Linked DNA regions of Elephas maximus indicus. The protein of the gene in region 1 interacts with the protein of each later gene in a pairwise test. Links are inferred from orthologs where the notes say so. Each region holds a gene or a part of one and is shown in the gene's direction. Other genes may lie near its edges.

Evidence for each region. The genes of interacting proteins can lie anywhere in the genome.
Region 2: the proteins of PKNOX1 (region 1) and PBX2 interact in binary tests that used the Homo sapiens proteins (3 or more experiments, as listed by UniProt). The link is inferred for Elephas maximus indicus from reciprocal best matches to the Homo sapiens genes PKNOX1 and PBX2.

What each region holds. Positions count from the first base shown.
Region 1 is NC_064820.1:226,908,494-226,916,523, forward strand, and holds the start of PKNOX1 (homeobox protein PKNOX1), read left to right. Parts: upstream 1-4,841; 5' UTR 4,842-4,899; exon of another isoform or gene 4,900-5,354; intron 5,355-5,586; exon of another isoform or gene 5,587-5,727; intron 5,728-8,030. UniProt on the Homo sapiens protein: Activates transcription in the presence of PBX1A and HOXA1.
Region 2 is NC_064819.1:93,677,790-93,685,466, reverse strand, and holds the start of PBX2 (pre-B-cell leukemia transcription factor 2), read left to right. Parts: upstream 1-4,500; 5' UTR 4,501-4,513; coding exon 4,514-4,734; intron 4,735-5,628; coding exon 5,629-5,702; intron 5,703-5,937; coding exon 5,938-6,185; intron 6,186-6,296; coding exon 6,297-6,487; intron 6,488-6,643; coding exon 6,644-6,779; intron 6,780-6,904; coding exon 6,905-7,058; intron 7,059-7,429; coding exon 7,430-7,518; intron 7,519-7,637; coding exon 7,638-7,677. Other genes in the region: GPSM3 (G-protein-signaling modulator 3), read left to right, coding at 1,705-1,749, 1,968-2,073, 2,287-2,486, 2,694-2,831. UniProt on the Homo sapiens protein: Transcriptional activator that binds the sequence 5'-ATCAATCAA-3'. Activates transcription of PF4 in complex with MEIS1.

The sequences.
Region 1 (8,030 bases):
ACAGCTCCCCAGTGGACTGAGGACCATCCTCACCTGTGGGTGAGTAAGGAGCACAATGAGAATTCTTGAACCACAGGATCCGGGCCATTTGACTGGACCAGAGCTCAGGCCCTATGATTCCCCTGACAATTCCTCCAGCCAGCTGTGTTTCTAGGTTAGGATTTTCTCAACAACTAAACCCAGATTTCACAGTGTAAGGAAATTTAGGACAAGCAAAAAGGAATACTGAGCATCTCCAATGGGAAACTATACATTCTTGAGAACTTGCCCTTTTAGGTTATCTGATTCGAACTTTTCATTAACTTTGAGCTATTGTACAATCTATGAATTGTAGAGAACTGCCTTAGTCATCTTAATCATCTAGTGCTGCTATAACAGAAATACCACAAGTGGATGGCTTTACCAAAGAGAAATTTATTCTCTTAGAGTTTAGGAGGCTAGAAGTCCAAATTCAGGATACCAGCTCCAGAGCAAGGCTTTCTCTCTCTGTCGGCTCTGGAGGAAGGTCCTCGTCATCAATCTTCCCTTGGTCTAGGAGCTTATCCATGCAGAAACTCCAGGTCCAAAAGATGCATTCTGCTCCCAGAGCTGCTTTCTTGGTGGTATGAGGTCTCCCTGTCTCTCTGCTCACTCCTCTCTTTAATATCTCAAAAGAGATTGACTTAAGACACAACCTAATCATGTAGATTGGGTCCTGCCTCATTAACATAACTGCCCGCTAATCCCACCTCATTAACATCATAGTTGTAGGATTTACAACAGGTAGGAAAATCACATCAGACGACAAAACGGTAGACAATCACACAATACTGGGAATCACGGACTAGCCAAGTTGACACTTATTTTGGGGGGACACAATCCAATCCATAATAAAAACTAAGTGCAGCCACCGCCCATCTGTTAGTGGAGGCTTGTGTGTTGCTATGATGCTCAACCAGTTTCAGAGGAGCTTCCAGACTAAAATGGACTAGGAAGAAAGACCTGCTGATCTGCCTCCAAAAATCAGTCAGTGAAAACCGTGTGGGGCACAATGGTCCAATCCTGCTGTGCATGGGGTCACCATGAGTAAGTGGTCTACCTGGGGGCAGCTAACAATAACAATGACAATGCAAATGATTTTTTTCTATGGACATGTAAATGGATTCTGCACAGGGTAAGGACAACCTTCCCCACACCCTCCACTAGCTAGTTTTGCACAATTTGCAAGTTAGTTCCAGTACTCTTGTTCTTTGCATTTTCCTTCGAACTGGCTCTAACATCTTACCAGTTTTCCCATGTAAAGAATGAGTTCAATAAAACATTTGCCACATGTTCATCAGTGAATGACAGTAAAATTCCTACTCATGTGATGAGTAAAGTCTAGTGTTTATGCGTGCCTGCCTGCGTGTGTGTGCTGTTTCGGACAACAGACGGAACAAATAAGTTAGTTATACAGCGTTATAGATTGAATTGTATCCCCCAAGAAGATATGCTGAAGTCCTGATCTCCAGTACCTATGAATGTGACCCTATTTGGAAATAGGGTCTTCGAAGATGTGATCAGTTAGGTTAACATGAAGTCATACTGGAGTAAGGTGGGTCCTAATCCTCTATGAGTGATGCCCTTATAAAAGAATAGTAGAGACAGAAAGAAAGACACAAGAAGGATGGCCATGTGAAGACGGAGGCAGACATTTGGAGTGCTGCATCTATAAGCCAAGGAGTGCCTGGAGCTAACAGAAGTTAGGAAACCCTGGTGGGATAGTGGAAACCCTGTGGTACAGTGGTTAGGAGCTTGGCTGCTAACCTAAAGGTTGGCAGTTTGAATCCACCAGGCACTCCTTGGAAACTCTATGGGGCAGTACTACTCTGTCCTATAGGGTCGCTATGAGTCTGAATCAGCTCAATGGCAATAGGTTTGGGTTTTTTTTTTTGGTGGTATAGTAGCTAAGAGCTACAGTTGCTAACCAAAAGGTCAGCAGTTCAAATCTACCAGGTGCCCTGTGGAACCCCTATGGGGCTATCCTATAGGGTCATTATGACTCAGAATCCATTCGACGGCAATGGGTTTAACAGAAGTTGGGAGAGAGGTACGGAATAGATTCTTGCTCAGAGCCTCTGAGGAAACAACATGGCAGACACGGTGACTTGGACTTCAAGGCTTCAGAACTGAGATAATAAATTTCCATTCCTACAAGCCACCCAGTTTGTGGTACTTGCTAAGGCAGCCCGAGAAAACGAATACATGTAATAATTACACAGTATGTCAGAAGTACCTGTACAAACCCCATGGAGAAGAAAGCAGGCTGAGGGAATATTACGGATTGAATTGTGTCATTCCCCCCTCCCCCCGCCCCGCATTTGTGCTGTGAACCCTAAACCCTGTAGTGGTCCTACTTTGTTCTATAGCGTTGCTATGAGTCAGAATCCACTTGACCACACGGGTTTGGTTTGGTTTTTGTAGTGGTTATAATCCCATTTAGGAATGGACTTTCTTTGTTATGTTAATGAGGAAGTATTAGTGTAGGGCGTGTCTTAAATCAATCTCTTTGGAGATATAAAAGAGATTAAACAAGCAATCAAGAAATGGAGAGTGAAAGAGAATCTCAAAATAGACAAGGGACTTCCCCAAGCACTGACAGAAAGCCTTGCCCTAAAGCCAGCCCTCCCCCGCCCCCAAATTCAGACTACTAACCTCCTAAACTGTGAGAGAATAAATTTCTGTTTGTGAAAGCCATCCATCTGTGATATTTCTGTTATGGCAGCACTAGATGACTAAGACAGGGAGATAGGATTTATACTGGGGACTTAAATTTTAAACCTGAGAAACTGATATTGAAGCAAAGGCTTCAGGGAGGTGAGAGAGAGAACCATGTGGATATGTCTGGGAAGAGTGCTTCAGGCAGAGGGAACATGCAGTGCCAAGGTCCTGAGGCAAAGCAGGTCTGGTGTGATCAAGGAGCAGCAGGGGGACTGATTTGATGCGAGCCGGTGAATGAGGAAGGTAGTGTGGGCACTGAGGTCAGACAGGCATGGTGGCAGGGAAAGATCACATAGGGTTTGGGGGTTCCTGTGAAGACTCTGGAAACCTTGGTGGCATTGTAGTTAAGAGCTACTGCTGCTAACCAAAAGGTCTGCAGTTCAAATCCACCAGGTGCTCCTTGGAAACTCTGTGGGGCAGCTCTACTCTACAGGGTCGCTATGAGTCGGAATCAACTCGACGGCAATGGGTTAATGGTGAAGAGATGGGAGCTCTGCCTGGGGGGGAGGAGGGTTGTTGAGAGGAGTGGGATAGTCTAAGACATTTTTAAAAGGATCATGCCCTACTAATTGCTGGTGCCCCCCAACTGACCCAGGCGAACTGAAGCAGTTTAAGCATCAGCCAAACTGGCCATCTTGATAAGCAGAAACCTAGCCCTTATTTTTAAGAGGCTTTCTCATTCATTTTTCTTCCCTAAGCCTCTCCAAAAGGTCCCCAGGTGGGGCAAATGGTTTTCCCTCAACTGCTAACTTCAAGGTTGGCGGTTCAAACCCACCCAGTGCCACTGTGGAAGAAAGGGCTGGTGATCTGCTTCTGGAAAGATTACAGCCAAGAAAACCCTACGGGGCAGTTCTACTCTGTAACACACAGGGTCACCATGAGCTGGAATCGACTCTATGGCAATGCGTTTGTTTTTTGTGGTTGTTTTTAAGCCTCTCCAGATCCTAAGCATCTGTTAAGGACAAGCCATGCCCTTATTCCTGGAACTCTGCTAGGCCATCAACCTTGTGATGCAGCACATGGGGGTACTGGGCCTTGCTGGGGTCGCGGATGGCGCTTGCACTGGATTTTCAGCTCTGCACAGGGCCCGAGTCTTACCTCTCTTTTATGTCCTTACCAGCCTGAGGCAGGGTTGGGCAGTCAGTAAGGCTGGCACATTCCTGTGGTTTCCCTCAAAGTGCTCACCAGTGTTCCTGCCGGCTCTCACCTAGCATGCCACCTCCCCCACCATCTCTGGGGCCACATCTGCAGGAGATGATGGGGAGAAAAGAAAAGACGCAGCAGCCAGAGAAGGCTCCTGCTGGACATACCAGAGAGCTCTGAGGCCAGACGGTGGGGTGGACTGGGCCTGGGCCTCAGCTGGCCCCTGGGCTTTCCAGCAATAGTTTGTACTGGGTTCTGGGTGACTGAAGACACCCAGGTCCTGCGGTTCTGAAGCCCCCACTGCCTTAAAGGCTTGATGGGAACCAAATAAAAGCTACTGACGAGGGTGAGGCAGGTGATGGCAAGGCTGGGCTCACAGCACAAGGCCCCTTGCTTATGTAATGCTCTGCTGTTGCCATCTTGGAATTCATACTAATTTTCTGAACAAGGGACCTTGAATTTCCATTTTACGCTGCACCTTGACAGTTATGCCGCCAGTCTTGACTACTGAGTTTTCGGGGGGCCTCTCTGCGTATTCCACCTGCCTCACTCACCCTGGCCCCTGCTCTGCTACACTTTGTCCCTGAAAAATGCATTCTGCATGTGGTTTCATGGTGTCTGTGGACCCATGCAGCCATATTAAGAATCTTATCCCTGCTGTTCATGCCTGGTCCACCTCAGTCATCCTCCAGCAAGTTCCCCATTCTGGGCCCTGGAGGAGGTGGGTGCAAGCTGAGCTGCCCTTCTTTACCGCTGTGTGTGGACTTAATATCGAGGTTCGTCCTGGGTGGGCCGTTCTAGAAAACGTTCACAGTCAGACAAACAATGTGCATTCGCACTGCGGAAGGAGCTGCCCTTTCCTTAGGTTCCTGGAGTGCTGCGGCCCGTGGGAATGGTCGGTACCTTGTAAACAGGCTATGCTGGGAGGCTGGCCCCTGACAGTACAGGCGTCCTCTGCCAGCGGAGCTCCGATGTTACCTTGACACAAGGGCCTGCTGGGGTCTCCTGGGCGGAAAGGTACGCTGACACCATGTGGACTGGAGACCCGGCGGACCCGGGGGCGTGCCTGCAGTTTTCACCCAGCCCACGCCGCCAGTCTCGTGGCCGGAAGGAAGCCCTCTGCCGAGGGTCGATGGGGGCCACCCATGCCGCAGGTCCCATCGACAGCGACCCCAGACGCCGAGCACAGCCTGCTGCCACGGGTTTGGGGCGAAGCGGGGCGCGCGCAAGTGCGCTCCGCAGTTTCATCCTAGCTCGGTAGAGGGGCGCCCCGCAGACAAAGGGGGAGCCGCGCACCCTGGGCGGGCCCGGTGCCTGCAGGCCGAGGGGGTCGGCGGCTGCATCCTCGGATAGTACAGCCCGGGCCTCCCTGCCTGACCGCGGAACATGGTCTCGCCCAGCCCGGAGCTGCGATCCCAGAGCCTCTTCCAGTGGCAGGGACGGCGCGGCGGGGGCGTGGCGCGCGCCCGAGGCCACGCCTATCGCTGCATAGTCATAAGGCCAGGAATCCCTGCCTGCGGGGCGGGCCGCTCCTCGCGCCCGGGCGCGGCCAGCTGGGGGCGTAGCCGGGCTGGGCGCGAGGCGGGGCGGAGCCGGCAGCTGGCCCACCCCCGCGCCGGGCCCCGCCCCCAGCCCCCGCCTCGCAGGCCGCGGGGCGGGGCCCGTGGCCGGCAGGCTCCGCCCCCGCGCTGAATATTGATGTGGCGCGCGTCGGCGTCGCCCTCCTCCCATTGAGCGAGGCTGTGTCGCGTGGCCCAGCGTCGGCGTGACGGTTGGACGCGGGCGCGGCACTGCGGGTCCCGATTGCTGCAGCCGCTTGTCAGTGTGATGAAGATTGGCACCCAGGTAAGCTGTCACTCAACCGCTCCGCCGCCGCCGCCGCAGCTCTCCGCCGCCGCCATCCCTATCAATCACGCGGGCCGAGCCGCCGCAGCCGCCACCCCAGCGCCGCCGCCCGGGTAGCGGCGGGCCGGCGGTGCCGAGGGGAGCCCACCCTTGACCCGCCACCCCGGGCAGGGGGCGGGAGGGGGGCGCGCGGGCAGCGGGTGGGGGAGGGGAGCTGGCGGCTGCCGGGGCGGGGGCGCTGTCCGTCCGGAGCTGACGCGGGGTCGCGCCGAGTTTGTTTTTGAGTGTCGGTTTAGGCAGAAGGAAATTTCTGGAAGGCGCCGCCGCCGCCTCGCTGGGCCCGCTGCGAGGCGCGCGCTCTTAACCGTCCTTTTCGGAGCGCGGCGCGCGCCCCTGCGCGGGGCGGGGGCGGCAGTGGGGGGAGGGGAGCGGGCCGCGGGCGCGCGCGGGCCGGGAGGGGCGGGGCTGGGAACCGGAGGCGCGCGCTGGGCGGGGCGGGGCTTGAGGCCGCGGGGGCGCGCGCACCGGAAGAGTGGGGGGGCTAGGGCCGCGGGGGCGCGCGCCGGCCGCGGGGGCGCGCGCCGGCCGCGGGCGGAAACGGGCTGCGAGGTCCCCGGTTTCTGTCGCGGTCGCGGGGGGACAGGTGCACCAGGCGGCGGGTCTCCGGGGCTGCCGGCGGCGGGGCTCGCGCGGTCCGGGAGGCGGGAAAATGGCGGCTGCGCGCAGGCCCGGCTTGAGGCGGGGTCGGGCCGCGCTGAGGGGGCGTCCCCAGCCGCGCGGCGCTCGGAGGCGCCCTGGCCTCGTGGAGCTGCTCCGGGCTCGCGGGGCGCAGGCCGAGCCCTGCCGACCCGGGGTCCCACACGCCGGCCCCGCCGCGGGACCCGTGCTTCCGCGCCCCGCGACCGCGCAGCTGGTGAAGGGGCGACCCCAGGGTGACCGGGGGACCCGAGCGCCCACTTCCGAGGGGCCGGCGCGGCGTTCAGACGGCCTGCGCCTGGGCTGTTTGCGGAGGGCTGGGGTTCCCGTTTGTAGGGAATTAGTTAAAAGTGTATTGTTTATACTAAATGGCAATTTTGAAATAGATGGCTGGAAGTCTTTGGCGTGGTCTGGCCGCTCGCAGGATTTTCACATTCCTTTAGAGAAAATGAGTCACTTAAGAAAAATCAAGTCTGCTTTCTTTCCTCCTAGTGGCTCTGGAAATGCCCTATTTTGACAGTGGCTCTGAGACTTGACCCGTTAGGCCCTTCATTTGTCATGGTTGACTCATAAAATACGACTTAGAATTTATTGATAGAAGCGATGAGGGCAGAAGTTACAGATACTTGGGGGCTGTGTGTGCGCGCACCAGCTTGTACATAAACAAGTGGACATTCGATACATTTGATGGTGGACTTGCAACAATCCAGGCTATATTGGACATGTTAGGGCGTGAAGAGGAACTCTGGTTGTGCAGTGGTTAAGCGCTAGGCTGCTAACTGAAAGATTGGAGGTTCAAACCTACCGGAACCCACCATCCGCTCTGCGGGAGAAAGATGTGGCAGTCTGCTTCTGCAAAGATTACAGCCTGGGAGACCCTATGGGGCGGCTCTTCTCTGTCCCATAGGGTCCCTGTGAGTCAAAATCAATTGGATGGCAACTTTTTTTTTTTTTTTTCTTAAGGGCGTGATAATTTAGTTTTTTAGATAGTAAGAATTGGCTTTATGTAAAATTGACTTTCCTTAGGAAGTAGATACATTCCACTTTAGTGTGGGAAAAACAACAACGCATCTTAAGCATCATTTCATAGTTTTCCCTGGTATGTTGGAAAAGTGGACTTCACTAAGTATTACAGGGAAGCATTGAGGTGAAATGTAAAACTCTTTGGCAGAATAGTTATTGGTGATATTCTCGAGTTGTAGGTACATTGGTTTGGAAGACAGCTGACAGACTACTCAACCTTGCCTTTCATTGTTTTCCTTTCCCCTAATTTACTCCTCTGGCTGCCAGCTTGTAGCAGCACATCTAATTAGCATGGAGAATGGTACCTGGATCATCTAGTTACAATGTTTCATTGAATCTAAAATGTACCTTTTGATATGCCACTCAAAGTGCTCACACTTTTAACCCACACAGTGCTGTTTTAGCATAGCAATGGACTGAGGCTTCCCGGGTCACATTGTGCTCGGGTTGATGGGAGGGGAAATGCTACGGGCTTGAAACAGTAACGTTTTATGCCGATGACTTAAGTGTGGAAGAAGCTACACTGTTGACGACACAGGGTGCAAAAGTATCTAGTCGGGAATTGTGTCGTCTGGTTCAGTGTA
Region 2 (7,677 bases), on another chromosome or scaffold:
GAAAAAACATGAGAATGACTGGAATTTTTGTGCCCTATGTTCAACATTTGGATGAGGGCTTTGAGTATGGTTAAAGAGCAAGAATAGGTTTGGGATCCCAATCTAATTTACTCATATAGGGTCGCTGAAAGGGTCTAGTAGCCCAGGGAGAACCCACATACACACTAGGACCCGCCCACTCTTTGTCCTTCACCCAAAGGCATTTAGTGATGACCACATAGGAGATGCCTAAGGCCGCAAGTTAAATAAAGGGAGATGGAGAGGGCATCTTAAGGGAAACTTTATCCACCTTTCAGCAACGTGGTTACACCTCTAATAGTGATGGGCCTAAGACACAGAGGTGTAAAGTGTTTGAAAGTTAAAAATAGCTATCATTTACCAAGCATTCATTTTGTGCCAAGTGCTTTATCATATTTAATCCTCACATCAACTCTATGAGCTATGGGCTATTAAAACCCCCATTTTCTTCTTTTAGGAACAGGCACAGAGAGGTGTATTTGCCCAAGATTGCACAGCATTAAGTGGTAGAACCAGATCTTCATGCTCTAAGTCAGTCAGTGTAAGCCCCCAATGTGGCAGGTTGCCATTTAAAAAAAAAAAAATTGCCATCTAGTCAATTCCGACTCATAGCGACCCTATAGTACAGAGTAGAACCACTCCATAGGGTTCCCAAGGAGGATTCGAACTGCCAACCTTTTGGTTAGCAGCCAAGCTCTTAACCACTGTGCCACCAGGGCTCCATTTAGAGGCCTCAAATGTCTCTACCTGTCCTGCTGCTGCCTTGGTGACAGCCACCTTGACCAGCATTAATCAAGGAGAGAGCAGGGAGGTGGTCTGCTCCCTTTTCCATTTCTATATCCCTCGTTTATGACCGGAGGAAAGTTCCCCTGCCCCTTGTCTGCACTAAACTATGATTTGCCTGAGTGAACTTCATTCCATTTTCTCATTTGGTGCACGTCTTGTCCCCTGTAAACAACTTAAGGTCAGGGATAATTGTTCAACACATTTATTAGATACTCAGTAAATACACAATATTTACTGTATATTTAGCATGTGTTGGAGCCGGTGCTGGGGGTATAGGTGTATAAGCTTGAGGGCAGAACATTCCTGGGTCTGTGTACTCTGCTTCTCACTGGGACACCGCACCTTCTAGTCCCAATAGGTCTGCGGATGTGTGGGGAGGGCCAAATCCTATGTCAGGGTCTATCTTGGAGAAGAAACGGACCTGGGCGGGGGAGGGGCTGGGGGGTTCTGAGGAGTGAAACCACTTCCTGTGTAGCTAGTTCCTGTGTTGACAGTGTTGACAGAAAGAGCTGAAGGGGAGGCAGGGGTGGAGGGAACAAAGCCAGGGGCTATGGGGGTGCTGAGGCTGTGGGGATAAGAAAGGCAGGAGTCCTTCCCCACCGAGAGCCCCCCTCTAACTCCTGCGGCTGGAGGAGCTTTTCCTGATCTCTGTGTTCCCCTGGGGCTAGAGAGGTCGAGCAACTCTTTGGGTGGGAAAAGAGAACTGGAGGAAGTTGACAGGGATGGGCGGGGCCCGTGGGGGGGCTGACCAGGAACCCAGCTTCCTGCTCAGAACCCAGGCATCTAGCCCCCAGCTGGCCCCCACCCCTTCCAGCCCCCACTCCCCTCTGGAACCCAGGGTTCTGGCACTCTTCCCAAATCCCAGCCACCCCTCCCCCACCAGTTTCTCCCCTCCAGGGGATGGAGACCGAAAGAGCCCAGGACGGAGAAGAGGATGGTGAGCAGGTGAGCCGGGCACTAAGGGGGAAGACTGACACTTGACGAGAGGGAGGGGAGAGGACCCAGGCAGAGACCCAGCAACGGAGAACTCAGGAGACTTAAAAGGGCTTGGGCACACTGAGGCAGGAAGGGAGACACAGAGAGGAAGCAGGCCGCTGGCCTAGCCCCCTGCCCACTCCACCTTCTCTACCCACCCCTGCTTGACTGGAACGGACATCTCCCAGCATCAGGGCCCTTCCCAGGATGAACAGGGCTGGCCCCCTCTAAACACCACCACTCGGCCTTGGCGATCTGCTCCTCCGTCCCCTCCTCCAGGGAACCGCCACACAGGTACCTCTACCGCCCAGGGAGCTCCCAACCCTGGTTCCATCTTTCGTGATCCCATTACCAAGACCATTGTGGGCCCTCCCCTCCACCTCCTCCAGACTGTCCATCACACCCCCTCAGCTCTAACCCCAAGTCCCTAATCACCTCACCCTATTCCCCCCCCCACCCATCTCTCAAGTTCTCTGGTTCTCTGAGCCCTCCCCCTCCTCTCCCCAGCCCTAGGGCCCCGCTCGGCCTCCCTGCTCTCCCTGCAGACAGAGCGCCTTCTGGACCTAGTGGCTGAGGCCCAGTCCCGCCGTCTGGAGGAGCAGAGGGCCACCTTCTGTGTCCCCCAGATCCCCCCAAACCGAGCCCCAGCCCCACCCCGGCCTCTTGAGGACAGAGAACAGCTCTACAGCACCATCCTCAGTCACCAGGTGAGACACCTCCAGAAGGCAAGACCCAGACCTCTTGGCCCCCTAGTCCCTGTTCTGTTTCAGGCCCTACCTCTCCTTCTACCCAGACAACTGCCCCATTGCCTGCTCTTTAGTCTCCCCATCCTCATCATAGGTATCCTGTATCCCCACACTAACCCTGGCTCCCCTCAGAGCCTCACCAACACCCTTCTCCCTCCACTCCTCCAGTGCCAGCGGATGGAAGCCCAGCGGTCAGAGCCTCCCCTACCCCCAGGAGGACAGGAGCTCCTGGAGTTGCTGCTGAGGGTTCAGGGTGGGGGACGAATGGAAGAGCAAAGGTCCAGACCTCCCACACATACTTGCTGAGACCTGAACTGGCCCCTCTGCGCTCCTGGGGCTCAAAGCTGGGCGGCCCACTGCCTGCCCTCAACCCTGCTTGGCAGGGGCAGCAGAGACTGGAAGACCCAAAAGAAATCTCAATATTCATCCTTTTTTTTTTTCTAGACTAGCACCCTGGTGGCGTAGTGGTTAAGTGCTACGGCTGCTAACCAAAGGGTCGGCAGCTCAAATCCGCCAGGCGCTCCTTGGAAACACTATGGGGCAGTTCTACTCTGTCCTATAGGGTCACTATGAGTCGGAATCGACTCGATGGCACTGGGTTTTTTAGACCAGCACCCGTGGGAAATAGAGGGGGTGAAAATTCTCAAACCCTGTTAATAGTAAAAAGGCAAGGTAGGATGATCATTGAACTCCCTCCCCAAGTACTTGGGAGCTTGAGGCGGTGAGGGGATCCCAGCTACCAGGGGACACCCCACTCCTAGATCTCAGGGGGTGGTTGGGAATCTCCAGCAGGAGCTGTCGAGACATCCCTAGGAGTCAACCCACCAGGCAGGGTCTGAGAACTCAGGCCTCCACCTTGCAAGAAAAGGCAAACGTCCCAAGGTTGTGACTGGAGAGACAGCCCACCCTCCTTCCCAGTTAGAAGAAAGGAAGGGTGGGTGGGCAAGAAGAGAGATTAAGACTGTCTGCCGACGCCCACCAAGGCATTCCCCCGCCCCAGGGCTGAGGGGCCTAGAGGCTGGAAACAGACCACTAGCCCTGCCCACCCGCCGTCCCCGCCGCCGCCTCTGCTCGCTGCTCGGAGTCAGTCTGATGTTTTGGTTGTGTGAATAAATTTAATTCCCCTCTGGACTGAAGGCTAGTGTCTGGAGGGCTGGGGTTGGAGGGTGGGAAGGTAAGGCCGGAGGCCGCCTTTCTCCTTAGGCTGGCCAGAGGCCAGCTCCCCTCTCTGGCTGGTTAATTACTGGCTCATTAAGCAGCAGCTGGAGACCTCCCTAATTATCCCCCCCCCAGTCCCCCTCTCCCAGTTTTAATTAAATAGAACTAGAAGGGGAGTCATTAGGACAAGAAATATGAACTGAGCTGTCTGTGAACCCAGGCATTCCAGCGGCCGGAGAGTCCACATCACCGCGATCCCTGACGCGGAATCCAGGTGGCTGCCCCCCTCCAACCCCAACACGCCCCCTCCCGGACCACGGAAGTCCAGCCCGGGGGCCTTCCCGTATTGCCTCCAATGACCCAGTCTCCTCCCCTCGTCTCCTCATCCCTGTCCCCTCCTCCACTCGGTCTCAGTTCCTCTGTTTCTCTCTCTCTCCGCCCCCAGCTCCTCCCTGTTCCTCCTCCCTTCTCCCCTCCTCTTCCTCCGCGGCTCCCCTCCCCCCGCCTCCCTCCCTCGCTCCCCCCCTTCTCCCTCCTCCCTCCTCCCTCTCTCTCACACACCCCCGCTTGGGCCTCCTCTCTCTCTCTCTCTCTCTCTCTCTCCGGCTCCATTTTCTCCGCCGCCGGGGGCCCGGGGTCTCCTGTGGGGGGCCCAGCCGGTACCCCAGGTCTCCCTTCAGCGCCGGGGTGAACCCCCGGGGGAGCCGAGAGGGAGGAGAGGGGCGGGGGTGGGGGCGGAGGGAGCAGCGGCCCCGGCGAGGTTGGGGGGAGAAGTAACCAGGCGGGGGGAGGGGCGGAGCAGGGAGGGGGCCCCAGGGCCCCCCCCAGCTATGGATGAGCGGCTGCTGGGGCCGCCCCCTCCAGGCGGGGGCCGGGGGGGTCTGGGATTGGTGAGTGGGGAGCCTGGGGGCCCTGGCGAGCCTCCCGGTGGCGGAGACCCCGGTGGGGGCAGCGGGGGGGTCCCGGGAGGCCGAGGGAAGCAAGACATCGGGGACATTCTGCAGCAGATAATGACCATCACCGACCAGAGCCTGGACGAGGCCCAGGCCAAGTGAGTGCCCCCACCCCGGGACCCTACACAGACCTGGCAGGACCCTATTCACAGTCTCTGAATCTTCTGGGAGCCCTCTAACTCCAGAAGCCTTTCCGGAATCCTTCAGCTCTCGATTATCCTCTCCTTACTCCTGGGACCCCTGAGATAAGTGATCCCTCTTAAACCTCCCTTCACCCCCAGGCCCTGAAACCTTCACAGAGGGAACCCCAGGTAGTCTCACCCCCCCCTAACCTCTCGCTGACCCCTACACTTCCTTGGAACGTCCTTCTGTCTCTGGAGCCCCCTTCTGGCTCCCAGACTAAGAAACTGCTCTCAGGCTATGCCATCCTCTCCCCTAATTTTCCAGACCTGGGGGCCCCTGCACCCCCTCCCCAGAGCTCCTAACACTCCTCACCCACCCTTCCCCCTCAGCTCAGCCAGACAGTCAGCGAGTCATATCTTCCACCCTGCTCAGTTCCAGACTCCCTACTTGAGCTCAGCACCCCCAATTCTTCTCTGGCTCCCTCTGATACTCTTTTACACCCCAGCCTCCTGTTTTCCTCTGAAATCTACCTAGTCACCCTCATTTCTCCAGTGACCCCCTCCAAACTCTTTCTCTGCACGCTTCCTAGACCACTCCCCAAAGCCCCCAGCCCACCCATGGTTTCTTTAGCATCTTCCCTCAATCTTCCTGAAGCCAAGCTGCTTTCTCACATCTCCCGTAATATGGGAGCTGCCCCTTCCCAAGTCCCCCCAAATCCCTTCAACCCCCAACCCCACTTTCTATTTCCCTTCTCCTTCCACAGATTTTCCTGCCTCTCCCCTGGTTTTCAGGCTCTCTTCTTTCATCGTCTGCTCCACTTCTATAGCTGCTCAACTTTTCTCTCTTTCCCCACTCCCATTCCTCTGAAGGAAACACGCCCTAAATTGCCACCGAATGAAGCCTGCTCTCTTTAGCGTCCTGTGTGAAATCAAGGAGAAAACCGGTATGTGGTCTCTCTCTGATTCCTCAGCTCTGGGGACGGAACCCTGTTCACAACAAGTCTTGGGCTAAGAGTTTGACAACTTGGGGCCACGAGGAAAGTGAGGAGTCAGGGAGGTTGCAAAGGGCACTGGGGAGCAAACCAAAATTGGGAGACTTGGGGCTCTAAGAGGCACAAGGAGGGCTGAGAGCTGGGTGTGGGGGACCTAGGTCCCTAAATCCTTTTGCCTGCACGCTAGGCCTCAGCATCCGAAGCTCCCAAGAGGAGGAGCCGGTGGACCCGCAGCTGATGCGCTTGGACAACATGCTTCTGGCAGAGGGTGTGGCTGGACCTGAGAAAGGAGGGGGCTCAGCAGCAGCAGCTGCAGCAGCTGCAGCCTCTGGGGGTGGCGTATCCCCTGACAACTCCATTGAGCACTCGGACTATCGCAGCAAACTTGCCCAGATTCGCCACATCTACCACTCAGAGCTGGAGAAGTATGAGCAGGTGAGGAGAGAAGGCTGGGATGAATGGAGGGAGAGGCTCTTGGAGGAAGTCCCAAAGCCAAAGGACTCCTCCTCACCTCCTCATTGCATGCCTGCATGGGCCCCCATGCAGGCATGTAATGAGTTCACGACCCACGTCATGAATCTGCTGAGGGAGCAGAGCCGTACGCGGCCTGTGGCACCCAAGGAAATGGAGCGCATGGTGAGCATCATCCATCGAAAGTTCAGCGCCATCCAGATGCAGCTCAAGCAGAGCACCTGTGAGGCCGTCATGATCCTGCGTTCCCGCTTCCTGGATGCCAGGTGGGACCCAGGGGTTCCTTCCCATTCCTCTCCAGTCCCCAAGCCGCCATGTTGTATAACATGGTACCTTGTGACAGTGGTGTCCTCTGCAGTTACGGAACATGGTGCCCCTTCTAAGACACCAGCATCCTCATCACCCTTCTCCCTCCCCTGTAGGCGAAAACGTCGGAACTTCAGCAAACAGGCCACCGAGGTCCTAAATGAGTACTTCTACTCCCACCTGAGTAACCCCTATCCTAGCGAGGAGGCTAAGGAGGAGCTCGCCAAGAAGTGTGGCATTACTGTCTCTCAGGTATTGGGGGTGGGTGGCTTGGGGAGAAAGAGTCTTTGGGTAAAAAACTCTCAGCTCCCACTGAATAAGGAGTTTCAGAAGGAAGGGTGTCCTCCTGACCCTCCTTTCTGCCCAATACCCCACAGGTCTCCAACTGGTTTGGCAACAAACGGATTCGCTATAAGAAAAACATTGGAAAATTCCAAGAGGAGGCAAACATCTATGCTGTTAAGACTGCAGTGTCAGTCACTCAGGGGGGCCACAGCCGCACCAGCTCCCCGACACCCCCTTCCTCTGCAGGTGGATCCCACTGCCACCCTGCCGAGCTGTTTTGCACACTTCCTGCTTTTGTTCCCACTTCCTAATCTAGGCAGGATCATAGCAGAGGGGGTGCTTGGGGGTGAGAGGGGACAAGGTGGGGATGTCAGGGGACAGAGGCCACTTCAGTGTAGTTACTTCTGCCTTTCTTCCAGTGGGTGGCCAGAGGAGGCTCAGGAACAGCCTCTTTTTTCCAAGTGTTGGAATGTTGTTTTGTGGATAGTTTGGGTATAGTAGCACAGCCCAACAAAGCTAGTACAAAAGGGTTTTTAGAAACAGATTTGTGGTGAGTCACCTGTCTGCCCTTTCGGGCTCTGTTGTACTTCCCCTAATTCCCTATCTGTTCCCCCAAGGCTCTGGCGGCTCTTTCAATCTCTCAGGATCCGGAGACATGTTTCTGGGGATGCCTGGGCTCAACGGAGATTCCTATTCTGCTTCCCAGGTCAGATGCTCCATCTCCTTTTGAGTTGGGCCTTCTCAAACCTTGTTTCCATCCCTTTAGGATACAAGAACTTTTTCTTCCGCAGCTTCTCCTATCGTGCCTTCCTGTGCTGCCTGCAGGTGGAATCACTCCGACACTCGATGGGGCCCGGAGGCTATG